3 linked regions of the Elephas maximus indicus genome follow. The main gene of each other region encodes a partner of the protein of the gene in region 3 in a complex. Links are inferred from orthologs where the notes say so. Each region holds a gene or a part of one and is shown on either strand. Other genes may lie near its edges.

The links.
Region 1: the proteins of XIAP (region 3) and CASP3 are in contact, whole or in part, in a crystal structure (PDB 1I3O), measured with the Homo sapiens proteins. The link is inferred for Elephas maximus indicus from reciprocal best matches to the Homo sapiens genes XIAP and CASP3. Residues at the interface, in NP_001158.2 of Homo sapiens: Ala137, Leu140, Leu141, Gly144, Gln145, Val146, Val147, Asp148, Ile149, Ser150, Asp151, Thr152, Ile153, Tyr154, Asn226, Leu231, Gly232, Arg233, Asn234; in NP_001341706.1 of Homo sapiens: Tyr204, Trp206, Arg207, Asn208, Ser209, Lys210, Asp211, Trp214, Gln217, Lys242, Thr245, Glu246, Phe247, Glu248, Ser249, Phe250, Phe252, Thr255, Phe256.
Region 2: the proteins of XIAP (region 3) and RIPK2 are in contact, whole or in part, in a cryo-EM structure (PDB 8AZA), measured with the Homo sapiens proteins. The link is inferred for Elephas maximus indicus from reciprocal best matches to the Homo sapiens genes XIAP and RIPK2. Residues at the interface, in NP_001158.2 of Homo sapiens: Lys208, Asn209, Trp210, Glu211, Pro212, Cys213; in NP_003812.1 of Homo sapiens: His136, Asn137, Met138, Thr139, Pro141, Ile208, Asp278, Glu279, Arg280, Ser282, Lys285.

The regions. Positions count from the first base shown.
Region 1 is NC_064839.1:83,406,706-83,413,869, forward strand, and holds the start of CASP3 (caspase-3), read right to left. Parts: upstream 3,019-7,164; 5' UTR 3,003-3,018; coding exon of another isoform or gene 2,950-3,002; intron 195-2,949; exon of another isoform or gene 165-194; 5' UTR 1-164. UniProt on the Homo sapiens protein: Thiol protease that acts as a major effector caspase involved in the execution phase of apoptosis. Following cleavage and activation by initiator caspases (CASP8, CASP9 and/or CASP10), mediates execution of apoptosis by catalyzing cleavage of many proteins.
Region 2 is NC_064833.1:52,120,547-52,128,111, reverse strand, and holds the start of RIPK2 (receptor-interacting serine/threonine-protein kinase 2), read left to right. Parts: upstream 1-4,547; 5' UTR 4,548-5,179; coding exon 5,180-5,352; intron 5,353-7,565.
Region 3 is NC_064846.1:32,786,475-32,794,385, reverse strand, and holds the start of XIAP (E3 ubiquitin-protein ligase XIAP), read left to right. Parts: upstream 1-4,903; 5' UTR 4,904-5,125; intron 5,126-5,386; 5' UTR 5,387-5,511; intron 5,512-5,517; exon of another isoform or gene 5,518-5,922; intron 5,923-7,911.

The sequences.
Region 1 (7,164 bases), on a different chromosome or scaffold from region 3:
GCTTTCTGTTCTCTGTCACTTTCTTATTCCATTTGATGCTACGTTGCATTATCTCTTCATTTGATGCTTAAGGTTCCAGGATTGATGTTTTCTCTGTTTTAGTTTTTTAGGTCTTTGCGATGGAGGGACAGTGTGGTGCTTCTGTCTATAGCGCCATGTTTGCTCTGCCCTCGAATAGGTTTTATACTTTAATTCTGTGAAGTATTTTATCCTCCAAGTTAAGAGCAATATCTTGAAAATTACCCCCAAATTATAGGAAACCAAAAACATGCAAATATGACTCAAAGCACAATATTTATCAAAATTCATAAATTGTTCCTTAAACTCTATGAGCTGAACAAACTAATAATTTATTAATACATAAAAGCACTATTATAAACAATTGAAAATACTTGTTTGGAGATCATTTATCCAAAAACCACAGATCTGCAAATTTTTTCTTAAAGGGCAAGATGGTATTTTAGATTTATAGGCCATAGAGTCTCTGTTGCAGCTACTTAACTCTGCTGGTGAAAACAGCCCTGAACAATATGTAAACGAATGAGTGTGGCTGTGTCCATAAAACCTGACAAAAGCAAACCACAAGCCTGACCCTGATCTAGACCAAGAATCAGGAAATGAGAGGTCAAAAAACAACAAAAAAAAAATGCAAACCCATTGCCATCAAGTCAGTTCTGACTCATGGTGACCCCACGTTTCAGAGTAAAGTTGTGCTCCACAGGGTTTTCAATGACTGCAATCTTTCTTTATAAAACTAAATCACACAGTCCTTCTTCCATGGCACCACTGGGTGAATCTGTACCACCAACCTTTTGGTTAGTAGTCTAGTACAAAACATTTGCACCACCCAGAGACCCCTAGATAATGAGTCACAGAATTATAAGCCCCATTTCCCTCCTAAAGAGACAGGCGGCAATGTGTGATAGCTAGACTGAGAGTGGACACACCTGATCCTGATGAAGAACAGAGACCCAAAATGCTTGCAAATGTGAAGGTAACTAATCATAGGACCATAATGGTCCTAAACCTGTTTTGGGCTCCCGAGTAATTTGCTATTTAAGTGATGTTCTATATGATAATGAAAAGTAGGAAGGAAAATGTGTAAATCACTTTACAAAGGTTTCAAAAACTACTTTAATGGAATTATATTTTAAATGGAATTACATTTCAAAGGCTCAATTTCTAGGATAATTCCTTTACCTATAACCCAGTTCCCTAAAGGTAATTAAACACTGAAAAATCTTTATTGGAAACCCTGGTGGCATAGTGGTTAAGTGCTACAGCTGCTAACCAAATGGTCGGCAGTTCGAACCCACCAGGCGCTCCTTGGAAACTCAATGGGGGCAGTCCTACTCTGTCCCATAGGGTCGCTGTGAGTCAGAATCAACTTGATGGCAATGGGTTTGGTTTTTTTGGTTTTAAATCTTTATTGACAACTTGTTAACAATATTGCTGTAATAATATTGTTTAGTACTAAAATTAATTTGTAATTCTTGGGTTAACCCAGAGGATATTGAGTCCCTGAAAGAAATTATTAGAATTAAAAGTATCACAAGAAATTCTAATCGATAATAATAGATATGAATTAAATTAAGAATATTTGAGTTTTAACTTTTTCCCCTCCTGAACTTGATAGTTACTAGAAGCATTTATAATTACAATATTCCAAAAAGAAAGACCAGAGAAAAACAAAGGGTAAAAGATAATTCATAACTAGGCACTGAGACCCCCACACTTCATCTGTCAGTTTATTGTACTGTGGGGGCTTGTGTGTTGCTGTGATGTTGGAAGCTATGACATTGTTATTCAAATACCAGCAGGGTCACCCATGGTGGACAGCTTTCAGCTGAGCTTCCAGACTAAGACAGCCTAGGAAGAAGGACATCATGATAAACGGAGAAACATCATGATAAATGGAGAGAACACCGAGGTTGTCAAGGATTTCATTTTACTTGGATCCGCAATCAACACCCATAGAAGTAGCAGCGAAGAAATCAAAAGACACATTGAACTGGGCAAATCGGCTGCAAAATACCTCTTTAAAGTGTTGAATAGCAAGGAGCACCTGACTCAAGCCATGGTGTTTTCAGTAGCATCATATGAATGTGAAAGCTAGACAATGAATAAGAAAGACTGAAGAAGAACTGACGCCTTTGAATTGTGGTGTTGGCAAAGAATATTGAATATACTGTGGACTGCCAAAAGAACAAAAAAATCTGTCTTAGAAGTACAACCAGAATGCTCCTTAGAAGCAAGGAAGGCAAGACTGCATCTCACATACTTTGGACATGTTGTCAGGAGGGATCAGTCCTTGGAGAAGGACATCATGCTTGGTAAAGCAGAGCGTCAGCGAAAAAGAGGAAGGCCTTCAACGAGATGGACTGACACAGTGGCTACAACCATGGGCCAAAGCATAGCAACAATTGTGTGAGGACGGCACAGGACCAGGCAGTGTTTCATTCGGTTGTGCATAGGGTTGCTCTGAGTTGAAACCAACTCGATGGCATCTGACAACAGGCAGTGAGAGCTGCCGTTTCATTTTAGTCTTAAAAGTTATACATTAACAGGAGGCCAAAAAACTTCCCACAAACACAAAACCTATAATCCTTCAGCAGAGCAATCTGGGAAGGTACAGAACCAACTAAACTTGTGGGTTTGGTTTTTCCTGGTGCATTCTTTCAGTTCCAGGACTGGGTTTCTGACTATGGGACTGACACCGTGCTTGATCTTTAGATGCCTCCCTTAATCCTCTTCACAATTCCACGAAAGTTATAAGGATGAGATTCAGAGAGGTTAACTGTGTAAAGTCACACAGCTGTCTGAGGGAAGAAGTCAACTTGGTCTCTCTGGCTAGAAAGCTCATATACGCTCTGCTTCCCCACTCCTCAGTTTGCCATTTAAACATACCGATTTTTCTCTGATTATACAGGGTTCCATTTAAATACTCACGTTTCCAAATTTTTAATGGATTTCGAATCCACCGAGTTTTCAGTGTTCTCCATGGATACTTTTATTAACTAGAATATAAAGAAAATAGAAGTCAATCAAAATCAGCCATTATAAAACCACTAAAACCACTGCACTATATTCATTATCCGAATGATTATTTCTGCATGTTAGTACTTTATATGAACATTTTTGTATCAGCATTACCACCCTAACCCAAGCTTCACCTTTATTGCTAAAGGTTTCTGTGAGCTGAGCAATGTCCTTTCTACTTCCTTCCTTTCTTCCCTTTAACCAAGATATTAACAGTGAAGTACACAAAGTGCACAAATAAATGTGCACCTGGATAAATTTTTACATTTGTATGCCCCCTCCCACATTAAGATATAGATTGCAGCTTATTTCTGTTTCAACAGATCAGGCCATTTTAAGAACGCAGCCCTTCAGTCAATAAGAAGACTTTATACTATTTTCACCTTGCTAAAAGAAAAAACAAAGAACTTGGCACCAAAATGGTATAACTCACATAACACTAGTATACGATGCTTAAATTCCCAAGAGGTACAGTACCAGGAAATTCCAACCTACCACAGAATTTTTATTCTTAAACTGGGCTTTGGCATCCCAACTTCTCATTTAGGGTGGTGAATTGGTTTACGAAACCTGGAAGTATAAGCTAAAGTTTCTTCTTTCATTCTTTCACCTCACACAGTGAACAAGTCCTTGTAAGCAGCTACTACTTACCGAGCACTTATTACATACTAGGTACTGTGTTAACCAAAAAAAAAAACAAAACCAAACCTGTTGTCATCAAGTCGATTCCAACTCATAGGTACTGTGTTAAGCATCTTTAATTTTTGGAACAATCCTAAAAGTCAGGAAACGCAACCCCTACTGAGTAACTTTTTCTATGACACAGAGCTACGTGATGGAGATCCAAGGCTTTCCCTGCCACTCTGCTCTACTGCTTCTTAAGAAGCTTGGTCCTTACTACTTGTCTTCTAGAGTTCTACTTTGTCTCCTCTAAGCTATCCAGAAGCAAAGGAACTTTCTAGGCAATTGTGATGGTTAAGATTATGTGTTAACTTGGCTGTTTATGGGTGATCACCTTCATGATTGAATCTGCTGTAAGTACTCCATCGGTTGAAAGGGATTTTCCCTGGGGATGTGGCCTACATCCGAATATAACCAGACGTTTTAGCTTTTTTGCTCACTCTGGATCCTACGGCTGTCTCCTGTTCGTCTGACCTCCGGCTCTTGGGACTTGAGCTATTAGCTTATCTGCAGATTTTCAGATTCATCGATCTTCACAGCCTGTGAGCAAGAGCACTGTTCTCAGACCTGCTGATCGTGGGTTCTCCAGCCCCTGTGGCTACGTGAATCAAGAGAAGCCTCTATCCTGATCCACAGACTTGGGATGTTCAAGCCTCTACATTCGTGTAAGCCATTTCCTTGATATAAATCTCTATGTATATATTTATATATTTTACTAGTTCTGCTTCCTTAGAGAACCTAGCCTCAGACATTTGGCACACAGAGTGGTTCTAGAGAAACAGAATTGTAAGGATGAGTTTCCTAAATTGGTTCTCAAGTCTGGTTAGTCTTAAAGATGTTGATGACTCTACTTCCAGCAATAAAGAGGGCACTGCTAATTCATGGCGTGAGGTGGCAATACAATTATGCAAAATATCACCACCAGTAGATCAGGTATTGGTGAAAGGCAAGGCTCTGGATGAACACACGTGATATCTTTCTAAATTTTGTTAGAATGAAAAGTATAAGAAAGCTGGTAGGTTGGTAGGTAGACAAACTGGTTAAAGAGATGTGCTCAGGGCTTCAGAGTTAAAGCTCAAGTGCCACATATATGACCTCAATCCTTCCACTTGTGATTTGAAAAAAAAAAAGCCTTATTTCTTGTAGTAACAGAGCTGAAATTTCTGGAAACCAAACTCAGAGTCTTACTGTAAGAGTGACTGAATTACAAGCCCAGCTCAACTGTCAACCTTGAGAGGAGTCTGAAGTTAAAGTAAGGGCATTGGGAAGAAATGGGATCCTGAAACTTGGGATGGGGACGTATGGGCAGATAATCAGGAAGCTGGAGACACAGCCCCTATATTCCATTAAATCATTCCTGCCAGCAGAACCAATCCCAGCTGAAGAGATTACTTCATGTTTCTCTGCTAAACCACTCTGCCCAGAAAAACCATTACCTCCTCCACTCCTATCTAATGAGATTAGCCCTAGCCCAGCTGCCTCTAAAGAGCCCTTGCCTGAGTCACTGCCTGGGGCATTGACTGAGGCAGATGCTTTACAAGACAATGCTGAATGTTCTCAAAACAATTTCACACTATGGATTCTGGCTTCTAGACCTGTAACTAGACTTAAGTCCCAGCCAGTCCCAAAAGGTGAAGTACAAAGTATGACTCAGGAGGAGGTATGCTACATTCCAAAAGACCTGCTTGACTTTTCTAATATGTACCAAAAAACACCTGGGGAATGTGTGGGAATGGCTATAAAGGGTTTGGGATAATGGCGCAATGAAGATCGAGATGGATCAGTCTGAGTTTATTGATATGGGTCCACTAAGCACAGATCCTTTATTCCATGTTTCAGCTCAAGAAGTTAGGAAAGGATCTAATGGTTTATTTGTTTGGGTCCCTGAAGCATGGATTACGAGGTGGCTTACACTAAATCAAGTTGAAGTACTGGATCTACATTGGTATACTGTAGAAGAAGGTATCCAAAGGCTTAGGGAAATTGGTATGCTGGAGTGGATTTATTAGGTTAGACCCACAGACTCACACATGGAGTACCAGAGGACACACCTTTTACCACAACTGTGAGGAACAAATTTGTGAAGGGAGCTCCGGGATCCTTGAAGACTGCTGTGATTGCTATCTTAAGTAAATCAGATTTGACAGTGGGAACTACCCTAACTGAATTAAGACACTAAAATGAAGCTCACTGGACCCTGTGATAGTAGGGGCCAAGTGGCTGCACTCAATCGACAAAGACAAGGTGGGTGTGGTCACAGTAGTGGACTGCAGAGTCAAAGCAGTAATCAGAAAATCTGCCTTTTATGGACTTACAGCATTGGCTACTTAGTCAAGGTGTTCCTAGGAGTGAAACAGATCGGAAGACTATGAAATATTTACTTGATCTGTACAAACAGATGAATTCTAGTTTAGATGAATAGCAGTGTAACTTGAATGGGCAGAATAGAGAGTCACTAGTTAGTTCCCAGCTTTGAGTGAGTCTAAAGACCCACAACCCCTTGAATGAAGGAGAGGCTGTGTCCCCTTGAGGAATGACTCCAATACACTGCTAAAAACTTTTACTGTTAATTTTTCTCCCAGCTTTCCCCAAAGGGATCTACGGCCTTTTATGAGTGACTGTTCATTAAACCAAAAACCAAACCTGTTGCCGCCGAGTCGATTCTGACTCACAGCGACCCTATAGGACAGAGTACAACTGCCCCATAGAGTTTCCAAGGAGCACCTGGTGGGTTTGAACTGTCGACCTCTTGTTTAGCAGCCGTAGCACTTACCCACTACGCCACCAGGGTTTCCAACTGTTCATTGAGGAAAGGGAAATAATCAGACTTTTCAGGGATTACTGGACACTGGCTCTTAACTGACACTAATTCCAGGAGACCCAAAACTTCACTGTGGCCCACCAGAGTAGGGGCATATGGAGGTCAGGTTATTAATGGAGTCTTAGCTTACGTCCATCTCACAGTAGGTCCAGTGGGTCCCCAAACTCATGCTGTAGTGATTTCCCCAGTTCCAGAATGCATAATTTAAATAGATATACTCAGCAACTGGCAGAACCCCCATATTGGATCCCTGACAAATAGAGTAAGGGCTATTATGGTAGGAAAAGCCAAGAGAAATCCTTAGAACTGGCCTTACCTAGGAAAATAGTAAACGAAAACCAATACCGCATCCCTGGAGGTACTGCAGAGATTACTGCCACCATTAAGGACTTGAAGGATGCAGGGGTGATGATTCCCACCACACCCGCATTCAACTCGCCTATTTGACCTGTGTAGAAAACAGATGGATCTTGGAAAATGACAGTAGATTATTGAAAACTTAACTAGGTGGTTGCTCCAATTACACCTGCTGTTCCGGATGTAATTTACTGCTTGAGCAAATTAATACATCTCCCGGTACCTGGTATGCTGTTATTGATCTGGCTAATGCCCTTTTCTCCATA
Region 2 (7,565 bases), on a different chromosome or scaffold from region 3:
GAAAGAGACGATGGGAAAGCTCACTATCATCGGTCAGAACAAGGCCAGGGGCCGACTGTGGAACAGACCATCAATTGTTCATATGCAAGTTCAAGCTGAAACTGAAGAAAATCAGAGCAAGTCCACGAGAGTCAAAATATGACCTTGAGTATATCCCACCTGAATTCAGAGACTATCTCAAGAATAGATTTGACGCATTGAACACTAGTGACCGAAGACCAGACGAGTTGTGGAATGACATCAAGGACATCATCCATGAAGAAAGCAAGAGGTCACTGAAAAGACAGGAAAGAAAGAAAAGACCAAGATGGATGTCAGAGGAGAATCTGAAACTTGCTCTCGAGCGTTGAGCAGCTAAAGTAAAAGGAAGAATTGGTGAAGTGAAAGAACTGAACAGAAGATTTTAAAGGGCGTCTCGAGCAGACAAAGTATTATGACATGTGCAAAGAGCTGGAGGTGGAAAACCAAAAGGGAAGAACACGGTTGGCATTTCTCAAGCTGAAAGGACTGAAGAAAAAATTCAAGCCTCCAGTTGCTATAGTGAAGGATTCCATGGGGAAAATATTAAACGATGCAGGAAGCATCAAAAGAAGATGGAAGGAATACACGGAGTCATTATACCAAAAAGAATTAGTCGATATTCAACCATTTCAAGAGGTGGCATATGATCAGGAACCGATGGTACTGAAGGAAGGAGTCCAAGCTGCTCTGAAGGCGTTGGCGAAAAACAAGGCTCCAGGAATTGATGGAATATCAATTGAGATGTTTCAACAAACAGATGCAGCACTGGAGGTGCTCACTCACCTATGCCAAGAAATATGGAAGACAGTTTCCTGGCCAACTGACTGGAAGAGATCCATATTTATGCCTATTCCCAAGAAAGGTGATCCAACCGAATGTGGAAATTATAGAACAATATCATTAATATCACATGCAAGCAAAAGCTTGCTGAAGATCATTAAAAACAGCTGCAGCAGTGTATCGACAGGGAACTGCCAGAAATTCAGGCCGGTTTCAGAAGAGGATGTGGAACCAGGGATATCATTGCTGATATCAGATGGATCCTGGCTGAAAGCAGAGAATACCAGAAGGATGTTTACCTGTGTTTTTTTGACTATGCAAAGGCATTGAACTGTGTGGATCATAAAAAACTATGGCTAACATTGAGAAGAATGGGAAATCCAGAACACTTAATCGTGCTCATGAGGAACCTTTACATAAATCAAGAGGCATTTGTTCAGACAGAACAAGGTGATACTGATTGGTTTAAAGTCAGGAAAGGTGTTCGTCAGGGTGTATTCTTTCACCATGCCTATTCAATCTGTATGCTGAGCAAATAATCTGAGAAGCTGGACTATATGAAGAACGGGGCATCAGAATTGGAGGAAGATTCATAAACAACCTGCGTTATGCAGATGACACAGCCTTGCTTGCTGAAAGTGAAGAGAATTTGAAGCACTTACTAATGAAGATCAAAAACCACAGCCTTCAGTATGGATTGCGCCTCAACATAAAGAAAACAAAAATCTTCACAACTGGACCAATGAGCAACATCACGATAAACGGAGAAAAGACTGAATTTGTCAAGGATTTCACTTTACTTGGATCCACAATCAACAGCCATGGAAGCAGCAGTCAAGTATCAAAAGACACAGTGCGTTGGGCTAATCTGCTGCAAAGGACCTCTTCAAAATGTTGAAGAGCAAAGATGTCACCTTGAAGACTAAGGTGCACCTGACCCAAGCTATGGTATTTTCAATAGCACCATATGCATGTGAAAGCTGGACATGAATAAGGACGACCGAAGAAGAACTGACCAACGCCTTTGAATTGTGGTGTTGGCGAAGAATATTGAATATACCATGGACTGCCAAAAGAAGAAGTACAGCCAGAATGTTCCTTAGAGGCAAGGATGGCGAAACTGTGTCTTACATAACTTTGGACATGTCGTCAGGAGGGATCAGTCCCCGGAGAAGGACATCATGCTTGGCAGAATTCAGGGTCAGCGGAAAAGAGGAAGACCCTCAGTGAGGTGGACTGACACAGTGGCTGCAACAATGAGCTGAAGCATAACAACGATTTTAAGGATGGCTCAGGACCCCGCAGTGTTTCGTTCTGTTGTGCATAGGGTTGCTATGAGTCGGAACCAACTCGATGGCCCCTAACAACAACAATATATATTTATTTTATATTTAAACCTTTTAACTTTTTATTGAAGTATAATATACATTGAGCAAAGTGTACATAAATCTAACCTCAAAGAATTTTCATAAACTGAACACACTCATGTAACTGGCACCTAAAATCTAGGTTCTACATCAAGAAACAGAATATTACTAGCACCCCAGAAGCCTTATCATGTCCCCTTCTACTCACTACATCCCCCCACAAGAGTAACCACTGTCTTAATTTCTCACAGCATAGATTAATTTATTTTACACTTTATGTTAATGGACTTATCAGTACGTTCTCTTCTGTGTCTGCCTTTTTTCATACAATATTATTGTAGATTGTTCAATCTCATTGACTTTAGTGTTCTATTGTGTAAATGAAGCACAATTTATCCATTTCTTCTGTTAATGGGCTATATATAATTTGAGGCTATCATAAGTCACACTGTTATAGACATTCTAGCATATACATACATAGGCCCACATATCTATGAGAGGAATTGCTGGTTCATAGGGGCTACATATGTTCAACTTTAGCCCTACAATTTTCACCTGTTCACCACCACAGAACTGTTTAAAGAAGTGTTGTTTCCTTACTTGTATAATTTTTATTTTTCATAGAATAGTAATTGCCTTATTTTTTTCAGTTCTATGTCCAGTTTTTCAGACATATTTCATTAGATCTATCAAACACCTATTAATACAGTCTCCCAAATACTCAAAATTAGATCATCTATAAATTTAAATATTTTTCTAAAGCCTTTCCTCTTGAAGCCTTCCATCCTCCTGTCCCATTGAAAATGGGTTTCTCCCCACTCTGACACATGCCCTGGGGTTTCACTTCTCCATTCTCCTGATCCTGGTTTTCTGGAACCCATGTTTTGTTTTTTTCTTTTCTGGCTTACACCCATGTTTTGTTGGGGTACATACTTTAGTAGCTTTCTAAAACAAGGCTAATGGAAAGCAAATATTTGTACCCCTGTATATGTGCAAATGTTTATTTCACCCTTATACTTGTTAGATAGTTCAGCTGACTATAAAATTCAAGGTTGGAAGCCAATTTCCTTCATAATTTTGAAGAAATTTCACTCCATTGTTTTTTTTAGCTCACAATATTATTTAAAAAAAAAAACTCAGTGCCATCGAGTCGATTCCGACTCATAGCAACCCTATATAATTATTTAAAAAAATATATTATTACTCTTGATAAATCCAAGCCATGCTCCTTCCCATGCCTTTATTCTTGTTTCTTTCCTCTAAAAACTTTGAGTCTTCTCTTTATTCTTAATGTTTTGATCTTCTTAAGAATGTGCTTTAATGTAGGTTTTTCAGTTCACTGTGGACACCAGGTGAGTCATTTCAATATGGAGACCCTTGTCCTTCAGTCCTGGCAAAATTTCTTCAATTATTATTGTGATCATTCCCTCCCTGCTGATTTTTTTGTTCTCTTTTTCTGGAACTCTTAGTTTGTGAGATGGATGGATGGCTCAATGAGAAAGTTTTCTGAGTACTTTTAGGAGCAAAAAGTTCAACAACAAACAATAAAGCACAGCACAGCAGATCATATCTTCAAAGCTAAGCAATTTGTTTTAAATCATCAAAATTTTAAACATAACATTTCTTTACAATTTCCCGCTGTGCACAAATACAGGAAGGACTGGTTCTCTGTACGCAGAAGTCCTTTATTCAAGTCAGGCATTTCTTTTTACTGCATTACAATTCACTAAATTCCTAGTATGGACTTGGAGTTGTATATAATATTTGCACTCACGATATAATCACTTAAGTAGAAAAGTGGGACTTTTGGTTTTGTCTTTGTTTTTAAGTGGAAAAATGGAAAGATGTTTGCAGTCTTTTTCGGTTGGCATTAGACACTGCTTGCAATCCTCTTTTATCTATAAAAAAGAAATCTTTGCACTCTTATCTGGAGTTAGATGGATTTTCTCAGGTTCATTTTCAATCCCGATATATTATTATGGACATTGGAAAAGAGGAGGAAGAAAACCAGATTCCTAGTAGGCGGGCGTGTGCCCAGAGCAAAACACAGCCGAGGGTATTCCGCTCTGAGGAGATTTATCACCTTTCCCTCACTCGTCAAGTGGCTGCAAGTGAAGGAAGACTGGAGTCCAGGTTCGCAGTGGCATAGGGGTTAAGTGCTACGGCTGCTAACCAAAATGCTGGCAGTTCGAATCCACCAGGCGCTCCTTGCTATGGGGCAGCTCTACCCTGTCCTATAGGGTCACTAAGGGTCAGAATCTACTCGTCGGCCACGGGTTTGCCTGCCGTGGAACACGGCGCGCTCCGCGAAGCGCTCCTCGCGCAGGCGCAGAGTAGGGAGCCGGGATCACGCCCCTACCTCTGGAGTTTGGCTACTCTCCCGACTGCACGCGGCCGAGACAGAGAATCCACCCGAGTGGGGGCTCCCGCTGACCAATCACACACCCGCCAGCCGGCTGCGTTGAGGAACTTTCCCAAAAGGAAGACTTTTCCATATTCGGAGAGGGGTGAAGACAAAAGGAGTGCCACTGGCTGCCTCGCCCCCGCGCCCTAGCCCCGCCAGAATCGGACAGACAGTGGGGGCCGCAGGCTGAGACGAGCGCCTTCCCCGGAGGACGCAGGCGGACGCCCCCCTCTGCTAGCCCGCTGACGTCGCCTGAGAAGTTTGGAGAGGGAGGAGCTCGGCGCCGGGGTTCGCCGGCGGGGCGCGCCTGGGAGGGCCCAGTCTAGGAGAGGAAGCTCCTCCTCGCCGCGGCGCTGAAGACTTGACCCCACTTTCCAGAAAAGTGTGCTGAGGCCGGGGAAAAGCAGCCGGCAGCGCGGGGTCCGACGGCGGCGGGCGTGGGCCGCCTGGGAATGGGCGGCCTTGTGACCTAGTATTTGGGAGCAGGAACACCTCCCGTCCGCCTGGCGCCGGAGCGGACCCAAGCGCGCGCGTGCCGGGGAGCCGCGGGAGCAGAGAGCGCACCCGGAACGGGCCTTCGGCCTGAGTGCCCGCGCCGCCAGCGACCATGAACGGGGAGGCCATCTGCAGCGCCCTGCCCACCATTCCCTACCAGAAGCTCGCCGACCTGCGCTACCTGAGCCGCGGCGCCTCGGGCACCGTGTCGTCGGCCCGCCACTCGGACTGGCGTGTTCAGGTGGCCGTGAAGCATCTGCACATTCACACTCCGCTGCTCGACAGGTAGGGCGCCTAACTCGGCGGCACCCCCTCCCACGATATCCGCCCCGGGTAGGCGGACTGTAGAGCTCAAACGGCAGTGACCGCCTGGGGTCGGCCCTCCCCGTCGTCATTTCTGGGCTAGTCCTTCAAAGCTTGGGGCTGGCAGGGTGGGAGGAACCAGCCTCTCGAGGTGCACACTCGGAATCGTCCGCTCATCTCCTCTTCACTGCCTTCTCTCTGCGTCCCGCCGTTCCTCCTCTGACTTTCCTAGGCTGGTACCATATACCAGAGACCTGCCATCACAGCCCATCTCGAAATGCCCGATGTATTGAAATTGAGTTCTTTATGTAGTGGGTTTGTTTTTGTTTGCTTTTTTTTTTTTTTCTCGTTTTTTTGAAAGTGGGCTCTAGGGCTGTGCTGTCCAATAGGTAGGCAGTTGTTAGCCATAGGCAGCTGTTGAGCGACTGGTCAGTCGAACGGAAATGTGCTTTGTCAGTGTAAGATACACACCGGATTTCGAAGATTTAGTACAAAGAAACGAATTTAAACTAACTCATCAGTATTTTTATATCGATTGCGTCTTCAAATAATAATGCGGATATATTTGGTTAAATAAAAGATGTTACCAAAATTCATTTCATCTGGGGTTTTCTGTGTGTGTGTTGTTTTATTAGAGTTTTTTGTTGTTTTTTACTTTTTTTAATGTGACTTAGAAAATTTGAAATTACATTTGGGGCTGGCATAATTGGACAGCGCTGCTCTAGAGTTTTGAGATGTCTTGTTTTGGGGTTCTTGTAGTTTCTGTTTTGTTTGTGGTTCTTGTTTTCATGAAACTTTATCAACCTCAAAATTTGCAGTTAGTTTCTCCTCCTACTATTATGAGGAAGACTGTCTCTAGGAAAAAAGTGTGTATTTTTTTTTGTGGGAGCGATAAACTGTATCCAAAGAGTGTTAAGTGGCCAAAAAGTGTTTAGAGCCGTTCATCCTGGCATGATTGTAGTGTGATGTTCAGGTTTTAAGGAGCCCTGGTGATGCAGTGGTTAAGCACTTTGCTGATAACTGAAAGGTCAGTGATTTGAACCCACCACCAGCTCTGTGGGAGAAAGATGTGGCACGCTGTTTCCCTGAAGATTTACAGCCTTGGAAATCCAATGGGGCAGTTATATATATATTATAATTCATAGGGCCACTGTGAGTCTGAATCAACTCCATCGCAGTGGATTTGTTTGGACATTTGGTGGTGGTTTTGTTTTAGCATTAGTTTCTCTTTCCGAAGAGAAAAGCCTTACTGTAAACCCTTACGGTAAACGTGTGTGTATGCAGTAGTCAGTGGTCTAGTCACTAGTTCGGTATTCTATCTTTCCCAAAGGAATTTAACAAGGGCCTGCATTCAGTTCTCAGTGACCTAACATTCATGATTACAACATTATCTTATCTAATGTGAGAATACATCACGCTCGATGCCTGACTGGCCAGAGGCTGTTAGTATCCAGTATCGGATACATTCCTCAACTTTCAGCCCAGCCAACGTTATCATACTTCCACCTGCCTGTGGCTTTCTTTGCTGTCTCTCACTACCAGCGTTGGGTGGACTAGATCTCACAGCAGATTTCAGACACTTCTGGAGATTGTTCCCACCTTTTTATATACTATAGTCCACATCCAGTGATGTGCAGGGTGTGGTGTCTGTTTACACTAGGTCTTGAATTCTGTGGGGCAAGTGCTGGGCAAGTGTGTGTAGTCAACTCTAGAGGGTGGTGGCTGGTCAGAGAGGGTGGATATATTCTAGAACTAACTAGGTAGATGGTATATGGAAATCTAGCACTGATGGACCCATTAAATATTTTAAAGCAAATTGATCCTTCTTCTGTTTCGGATGCTGCTTCTCAAGATTTTAGTTTACCTGAAATTTTGTGCTGTTTGAGGGGCCAAGGAGTTAAGAAAGAGCTCCCTTTCCATGCTCATACAATTTTCGTAGTCCAAAAATTTTTACCAAGTTAGGTAGAAAATTAATTGTCTTCTAAGAAGCCATAAAGAACCTTGGTAGTGCGGTGGTTAAGGGCTTGACTACTAACTGAGAGGTGGTTGTTTCAAACCCACCTAGCAGCTTTGCAGAAGAAAGACCTGGCAATGTGCGTCCATAAAGATTACAGCCAAGAAAACTCTACGAGACAGTTCTGCTCTGTCACACGGGGTCACTATAAGTCAGAATCCACTCGAGGGCACCCAACAAC
Region 3 (7,911 bases):
TTAAGCTTGAAATGAGAGGCAGCCCCTCTGTCCTCACCCCAACCAAAAAACAAGTCTCCAGAAATGCATGACTGAGTTCCTGGAAGATAAAGGCAGAGAAGGGGAAGGGAGGGCTGGCTGGAGATGCTAGTTTTACACACACAAGATAAAGGTGGGCATCTTTATGACTGCTCAAAGAGAGGAAATTACAGTTGCAGTCTTTCTGTCACCAAGGAGGGAGTGAGAGGTTGGACATCAAGACACCCAGTGCAAAAGTCAGAAGCCTGAGGGACAGGTGGTCTTGGTAGATGTTGTTGGACATGAGTGAATGATCTTCACAGAGGCTGTTCTCAGGAATAATCGTATGCAGGTGTGCACCCCTTTCTGCCAGAAGAAGTTACATAAAACTGATGGCTCCAAGGGCAAGGCCTGGAAAGGGGGGCTCGCCTTACCCCCCATCTTCATTCAAAGTAGCTCTGCTGTTCATCTAATTTATTATTTGAGGTTTAACTTACTACTGCTTTTGCACAAAGGACTCTAGTACTTGAGAAAATGTTTGGAACCCATTGTTCTAAAATCTTTTCTGTTCCCCTAAGCAGATACTTTGCAGCTTTTTTTTTTCCCTCCCACATTTTACTTTTCAACTGCCATTGAGGTGTGGCTACCACCTTCAAAATTCCCTTCTACTTAATCTCCATTTCCTGTGTCCTTTAGTCTCTGAAAATGTTTCCTCCTTCCTATTCAAAGCTAATGCCTCTCCTTAGGTTTGATTCCATCTCTTTCTCATTTCCTCTCTTTATACCATTAATTTTCCTTTCACCTATTAGGTTGAATCATATGAAATTTCTGTTTGAAACATTGTCAGTTTTATAAGGTTCAAGTTTATATATCTTCATTCTTTCCCTATCTAAATGTTTCCTCTCCTCAACCAAAATGAATTACAACAAAACACACTTATACAAGTAAAAAACAATACTCTTCACAGATTGTAGCTTGCATTTTTCTGTGTATGTCCCGGCATATGAAACCTAGTCACCATGCCCCAGGTGTAACTGCCTTTGCTATAGGAACAATTGACAACTCACTCAAGAAGTATCTATCAGGAATCTGGTATGCTCATGAAATTTTTACTCACTCTTGCAGCAAATTTCTCTTGAGCACTTACTCTGTTTCAGACACTGTTCTAAGCACTTGGACTAGATCAGTGAACAGATAGATCCCCGTCCTCTTGGAGCTTATATTCTAATAAGGATGGGATGGAGGAGACAGACAATAAATAAACATAATATATAAGTAAATCATATTGTATGTTATAAAGTGATAGATGCCATGGAAAAAGATTAAAAAAATAGAGCACGGGAAGGGAGATGGGGAGCGCTGGAAGGAGGAGTTGTCATTTTAAATGCGGGGTCAGGATAGGACTTACTGAGAAGGTGTGATTTGAACAAAGACTTAAAGGTGTTGAAGGACAAGCCACAGAGAAATCTGGCTCCGGGCAGAAGTGTTTGGAGCAGAGAGAGTAGCAAACTGCAAAGGCCCTGCCTGAGGCAGGAAAGCTAAAGGAACAAGGAGATAAGGGCATAAAGGTAACAGGAATCCAGACCCCTGCAGGGCCTTTGTGATTAGTTATCTGCTGCTGTGTAACAAATTGCCCTAAAATCTAGCTACTTAAAATAACAATACACAGGAATTTAAGAGTATGGCTTAGCTGGGTGGTTCCGGCTCTGGGTCTCAAGAGACTAGTCATCTGAAGCCTGGGGCGAAAATTTCCTGTTGCAAAGTAGCTCATTCACATATTTAGCAAGTTGGTGCCTGCCATCAGTGGAGGAAACTGAGGGATGTGGGGCTCAGTCTCCTTGTGTGGGCCTCTCCATTCACTGTTTGAGTACCCTCAGGACATGACAACTGGCTTCCCCCAGAGCAAGCAATCCAAGAAAGAGTAAGGCAGAAGTCACAATGGCTTTTTATGTCTTAGTATTATAAGTCACATACCATCATTTCCACTGTATTCTATTGGCCACACTAGTCAGTCCTGGTTCAACGTAGAAGGGACCTACCCAAGGATGTGACTAGCAAGAGGTGAAAATCATTGGGGCTCATCTTGGTGACTGGCTAGCACAGGCTTTATAAAGGCCATGATAAAACTGCAGTTTTTATTTTGAGTGAAATGAGGAGTCATTGAAGGGATTCAAGCAGAGAAATGACAATGACCTGACTTATATTTTATTAGGATAACTCTGGCTACTGTGTGAAATAGACTAGAGAGGAGTAAAAGTGTAAACTGGGACATCAGTGAGGAGGCTATTATAGTCAACCAAGAAAGAGATGGACTGGGGTCATATTGGTGGAGTTGGTGAGAATTAGTGATCTTCTGGGTATATGTTATTTTGAAAATAGAGATGACAGAATTTGCTGATGGACTTGATATGGGATACAAACAAGAAAGAGGTATTAAAGATGACTCCAAGGGTTTTGGAGGAATTACAAAAATGAGGTAGACATTGATCTTGCCATGAATGAGCTTACAATATAGGAGAGATAAGGCATGTACACAAGTAACTACACTACAGGGCAGAAAGCATTGTGCTCCATAACAGGCACAAATTCAAGCGCTAGGAGACTTTAGAAGAAAAAAGAGATGATCTTTGGCTAAGGGAATCAGAGAAGGCTTGGTGTGAGGAAGTCTTTTTACCTAGGTAGAGGAAGCAGTTAGAAGGAATTAACCCTTTGGTGACCTGTGAACATAGATAATCCGATTTTTGGAAACCCTCGTGGGTAGTCTTTAAGAGTTACAGCTGCTAACCAAAAGGTTGGCAGTTTGAATCCACCAAGCATTCCTTGGAAACTCTCTGGGGCAGTTCTACTGTGTCATATAGGGTGACTGTGAGTTGGAATGGACTCACTGCAATGGTTTTTTTTTTTTTTTTTTAAAAAAAACACTTTTTATGCCTCTGCAGTTCTTTGGGTGTATGCTTTTCCTGCTGGAAGTATTTGCTGCCCTTCAGTGGGGATTGCGTAAAGGCGAAAGGTGAAAGAAAAGTTTGTTGAAGTAAAATATTTGGAGTATGAAACTTGCAAGTAGTGCAACCCAGAAGTGTGATTGCGTAAAAAGTTTGTCTCTTTTGGCTTTTGTATCCCTGCATAACCTTTGTAAGCATATTTGTGGTTTCCTATATAGTAAATTTATATATATATATATATATATATATATATATATATATGGTTGCTATGAGCTAGAGTCAACTTGAGGGCAACAGTTTTTTTTTTTTTTTTTGGGCAGGGTGTTAGTTAGGGTGGCCTGATAGGCTTGGTTTTGTTTTTTTGTGTCATATTTGGAAAACCAGAAGTTCCTGCGTGTAACCTAATGGAAGGCGCCCCATCTTATTTTCATCAACCAAAGTTCATTGGGACAAATGGTCACCCGTCAATCAGCTGGCTTGAGAACACAGCAAGTTCAGTGGTAGCCATGTAGGTCCAGATATTTTTCAAAATCCATATTACCCACCAAAAATTTAAACACACCCCATGACTCAGCATACTTCCATTAATGAAAACATATGGTATAAAAAAAAATTAAAAGCAGAAAATAATAGGATCACCAATTAACAGAAGGCAGGAAAGCTGGGGATAGGCAGGGGCACCGTGAGTAGTTCCATTTTGTTGTAACATAGGGTAGGGGTCCAAGGGGAGAGTGAACATGAAGCTAAGGAGTTCTGACATTATCCTGGAGGCGGTAGAAGTGTTAAAGGGCTTAACCCATATGGCTTTGTACAGGCTAGATTGGGGGATCCAGCCTCTGGGCAGAGAAGCCAGTTAGGAGACTTTGTAATGGTCAAACGTACATGTAATCAGACAGATTGGGGTTTGAATCGCTGCTCTAGCTCCTGCTTATACTTAAACTCTCTAAGCCTCTGTTTCCTCATCTGTTAAATGGGGATAAAAACAGTTCCATACTTCATAAGACTGTTATGAGAATTAAACAAGAAACATTTGCTCAAAATTACTATTATTACAATAAATCAGATGTGAGATTACCAGAGCTGTGACAGTGGGAGAGAATCACAAAGAATAATAACAACTTAAGCAAAAGCCTAAGATTCAAAAAGAAAATTCTTTCCTCTCCTCCCTCCAAGTTCCCTTTTCATTAGGGGCTGCATCATTTGAGGATGCAGGTGATATTTATGATCTTTCTCTTGAAATTAAACCGTCTCATTCAGAGCTTATCATCTTACACTAGCCTGTAGGAGAGCCCAAGTTCCTGAACAAAAGTTCATATGTAGGTCTGACAATCCTACAGCATATGTGAAATAAATCTGGGGTATGGTCAGTATATTATGTGCCTACACTTCCTTTGTTTCCCCTCCTGCTTTCCTTTGTCCCTATTCATTTTCCTTTGTCTCCCAATGCCTTTTGTTCTCTCTCTCTCTCCTCCTGTCATTCCTCTCATCTTTTCTCCTTGGAAAACAGTTTCTATTCTAATTGCATTTCCCTCGTTTATTAGCTGCGTGATTTCAGGATAGTTATCCTCTTTGGGCCTCAGTTCTTGGTATAAAATGGGTTTAATAAGACAGTGCCTACCTCATAAAACACAAAAATCCATTTCTATCGAGTCGATTCCGACTCAGAGCGACCCCATAAGACAGAGTAGAACTGCCCCGTAGAGTTTCCAAGGGAGCGCCTGGTGGATTTGAACTTATCGACCTTCTGGTTAGCAGCCGTAGCACTTAACCACTACGCCACTAGGGTTCCCGCCTACTCAAAATGACCGCAAATGACACGTTCTATGTCTGGCAGTGCCTGGTCTACAGTAAGAACTCAACAAGTTCGTTCCCTTCTCCCTCCTCTTTTTCATTGCTTTACGTCTCCTTCCCCTACTCCTCAACCCCACAGCCGAGCAGGTAAAAGCCGTGGGAAAAAACATCCTGGAAGCTGAGAGGAAAAACTAGAGCTAGGGGCGGGGACTGCGAGGTGCCCATCGCGCATGTGCGCCCGCTTCGGCAGGTTCTGGTTCCCACCCGGGTAGGGGGTGGGGAGAGAACAGGGTTTCATTTTCCTTGGCCGCCCCCTTCCCGCGCAGAGGAGTGGCAGGACCGTGTGGGCATCTCGGCGGGCGCGGAGCTCACCGAAGGACGCCAGGGTCCGCAAGGTAAGTTCGAAAATGGCGGAGGGGGGAAGAAGGTGGGGCTTTGCAGGGCGGGAGGCCGACCTCCCGGCGGGGGCGGGTGGACAGGAGGCTGCGGAGGCCCCGTGGCGCGGCTCGGGCTGGGAGAAGGAGGGCGCGCGCCCGGTGCCTCTGTGACGCCCCGACGTGGACGCGCTTCGGGGCCCCGACTTAGGGTTCCTCTCGGGGATGGGCCGGCTGTTGGACGCGAGTGAGGGCGACGAAGGCACTTCCGTTTCCTTCTAGGCAGGGGCCGGGCCGCAGAGCGAGTTGGCTTTTGCAGATTGGGGCTCGGGCCGCCCCTTCTCCGGGACCCACCCCGCGGGACCCCGGCTGGCGCCGCTGGCGATCCGGCACGCTCCCCAGGCACGGTGGGTACTGCCGGTGCGGGCTCCTCTCCTCCCCCTTCTGCCCTGCTCTCCTCCTCCTCTCCCTTCCCCTCCCTGGCCCTGGGGCCCGGCGCTGCGGGGGAGGGCAGGAAGGCTCCTGGCCGGGGCACCCGGGACTGGCCAAGCAAGCCTTGAGCGGGTGGCTGCCTCCAGGCCTGCCCGGCCGCCTCCCTAACCCCGTGAACCCAAAGCTCCAAGAACTTTTTTTTTCTGATCAGAGGGACACCCTCCTCCCACAGTGTGATGCCCGCGGCCTGTGTGGAGCAGGGTGGAATTTGTCTGGCAAGGTTGTGTGATACTGAAAGAATAGGGGCCAAAGAGCATCTGGAAGAGGAAATTAGCTAGTAATTTTTTCCAACCTTTGCTGCCCAAGTCACCTCCCCAGCATATTCTGTGAGTAAAACAAAATATCAATTTAACTTTCAGTTTCATTATTTTAACTCTATAATACACTTAATTGTTTGGTTTTTTTGGGGGGGGGGTAGTGATTATTGCTAAAACTAAGCAACAGTCTTCCCCACCTCCAAAAAAGGAAAACGCCAATCGAAGCTTAGTTAAAAAAAACTATCAGATTTTAATTATTTACTACTTTGCTTTCAAATATAACTATATAACTACTTCTCTCACAACTATACTTTGATAACTAAGGAGTCAGAAATTTACTCTGCTAAGGTAAAAGAATTATTGAAGGTAAAAGATTGCTATAGTGTTTCTTCTTTTTTTCTTAATAATTGTTGCGATCAGTTCAAGAGAACGCTGTTAGAGACGGCCATCTTAGAATTATAACATTTTAGAGTTGAAAGGGATCTTAGGCCAACCTTGTGATTTTACAAAAGCAGAAATTAAGGTATAGGGAGATTTCATGGCTTCCCTAAAGGTCACTCTGTTAGTTAGACTCCAGGTTGTCTGGCTCCTTGCTTACAGTTCCTTCTGTGCAACTGTTCCACATAGCCTCCAAGTACGAAAATGAAATGTGTTCAGTTCAGTGCACATACCTGAAGTGTATACTAGTTTGTGCCAGTGACTATGCGAAGCCCTAGCTCTACCGAGTACCACTTCAGCGTATTTACTATAGTTAAGAAGCCAGTGCTTGAGATTTTCCCCCCATCATTAGAAGTGGCAACAGTTAGGTTAAAAAAATGTTGGGAGACTTTTAATTTGCAGTTCACATGTGGCCTAATGTACTGTTGGAATTTCTTACCATAAACAAGTATTTTATAATTAAGAACGTTGTAAAGTTCATGTGTGCATATATGTCAATATAAATATGTATCAGTGGGGTGTGTGTATGTATAAAGTTTTATGGTTTCTTTTGTAAAATCCAGTGTGGTTCATGTCAGTCCAAGTGGCAAGGCAGGCGTGATTATTGGAGGCTCACGTTTTTCCTTTGGTTTTCTCCTGTTGCTCCTAATATAAAAACCAAACCAAACCAAACCCAGTGCCGTAAAGTGGATTCTGACTCAGTGACCCTATGGGACCGTGTAGAGCTGCCCTATAGAGTTTCCAAAGAGCGCCTGGCAGATTCCAACTGCGGACCCTTTGGTTAGCAGCTGTAGCACTTAACCACTACGCCACCAGGGTTTCCAAAATACGGTAAAAATGATTTATGTTGCTGGTCTTTATGGTATTTAGTTTTAGAAAATGTTGTAAGCTTCTTGATTGTCAGATAATGTAACAAACTATAACATTCAGAAAATCAAATTTGACACTACAGAACCTGAATTATAGAATCTTTGTGGATAAAAAAAAATTTTTTTTTTAGACTGGAAAAGTCCCAGGTGATTGGTAGTTTAGCTCTCTTGTTTTTACAAGTAGATGACTTAAGACCCAAAGAAGAAAAAAATGAATTGCCCAAGGTTATATATCTGGTTATTAACAGAGTTTCTACTGGGATCTAGGTGCTAGTCCAGTGCCCTTTGTACTACGACTGTGATTTTATTGCTTTCTGGTACGTTCGATGACTCCAACTCGGCTGACAAAGTAATGCTGACTAAAGGTTAGGCCCATTTCAACAGAGTTATTGTAATTAATGTACCAGTTAATTTGTAAAGTACTTGAAATATTTAAGTAACATAAATATTCCCCTTACATTTGGTTGTAAACATTTATTCCTTTATTAAGTCCCTTGTTTATGTTGTAAAGGCTTAGAGACCCCAAATGTGAAATAATGAGATTTTACAGTTTTCGTTTCATCTAATACTTTGCGGCACTGGGTACTGGGTTAGCTGATGCTAGTGGGGGAAGAAGAGTGATTTATAAAAAACATTTTTGAGCACCTACTGTGTACCAGGAATTGTACTATTGTAGGGCTCCAAAGATGATTAAGGCAAAATAGATGCCCTTGTTCTTTAAGGCAGGGAGATTATCATGAACTGTCAGTTC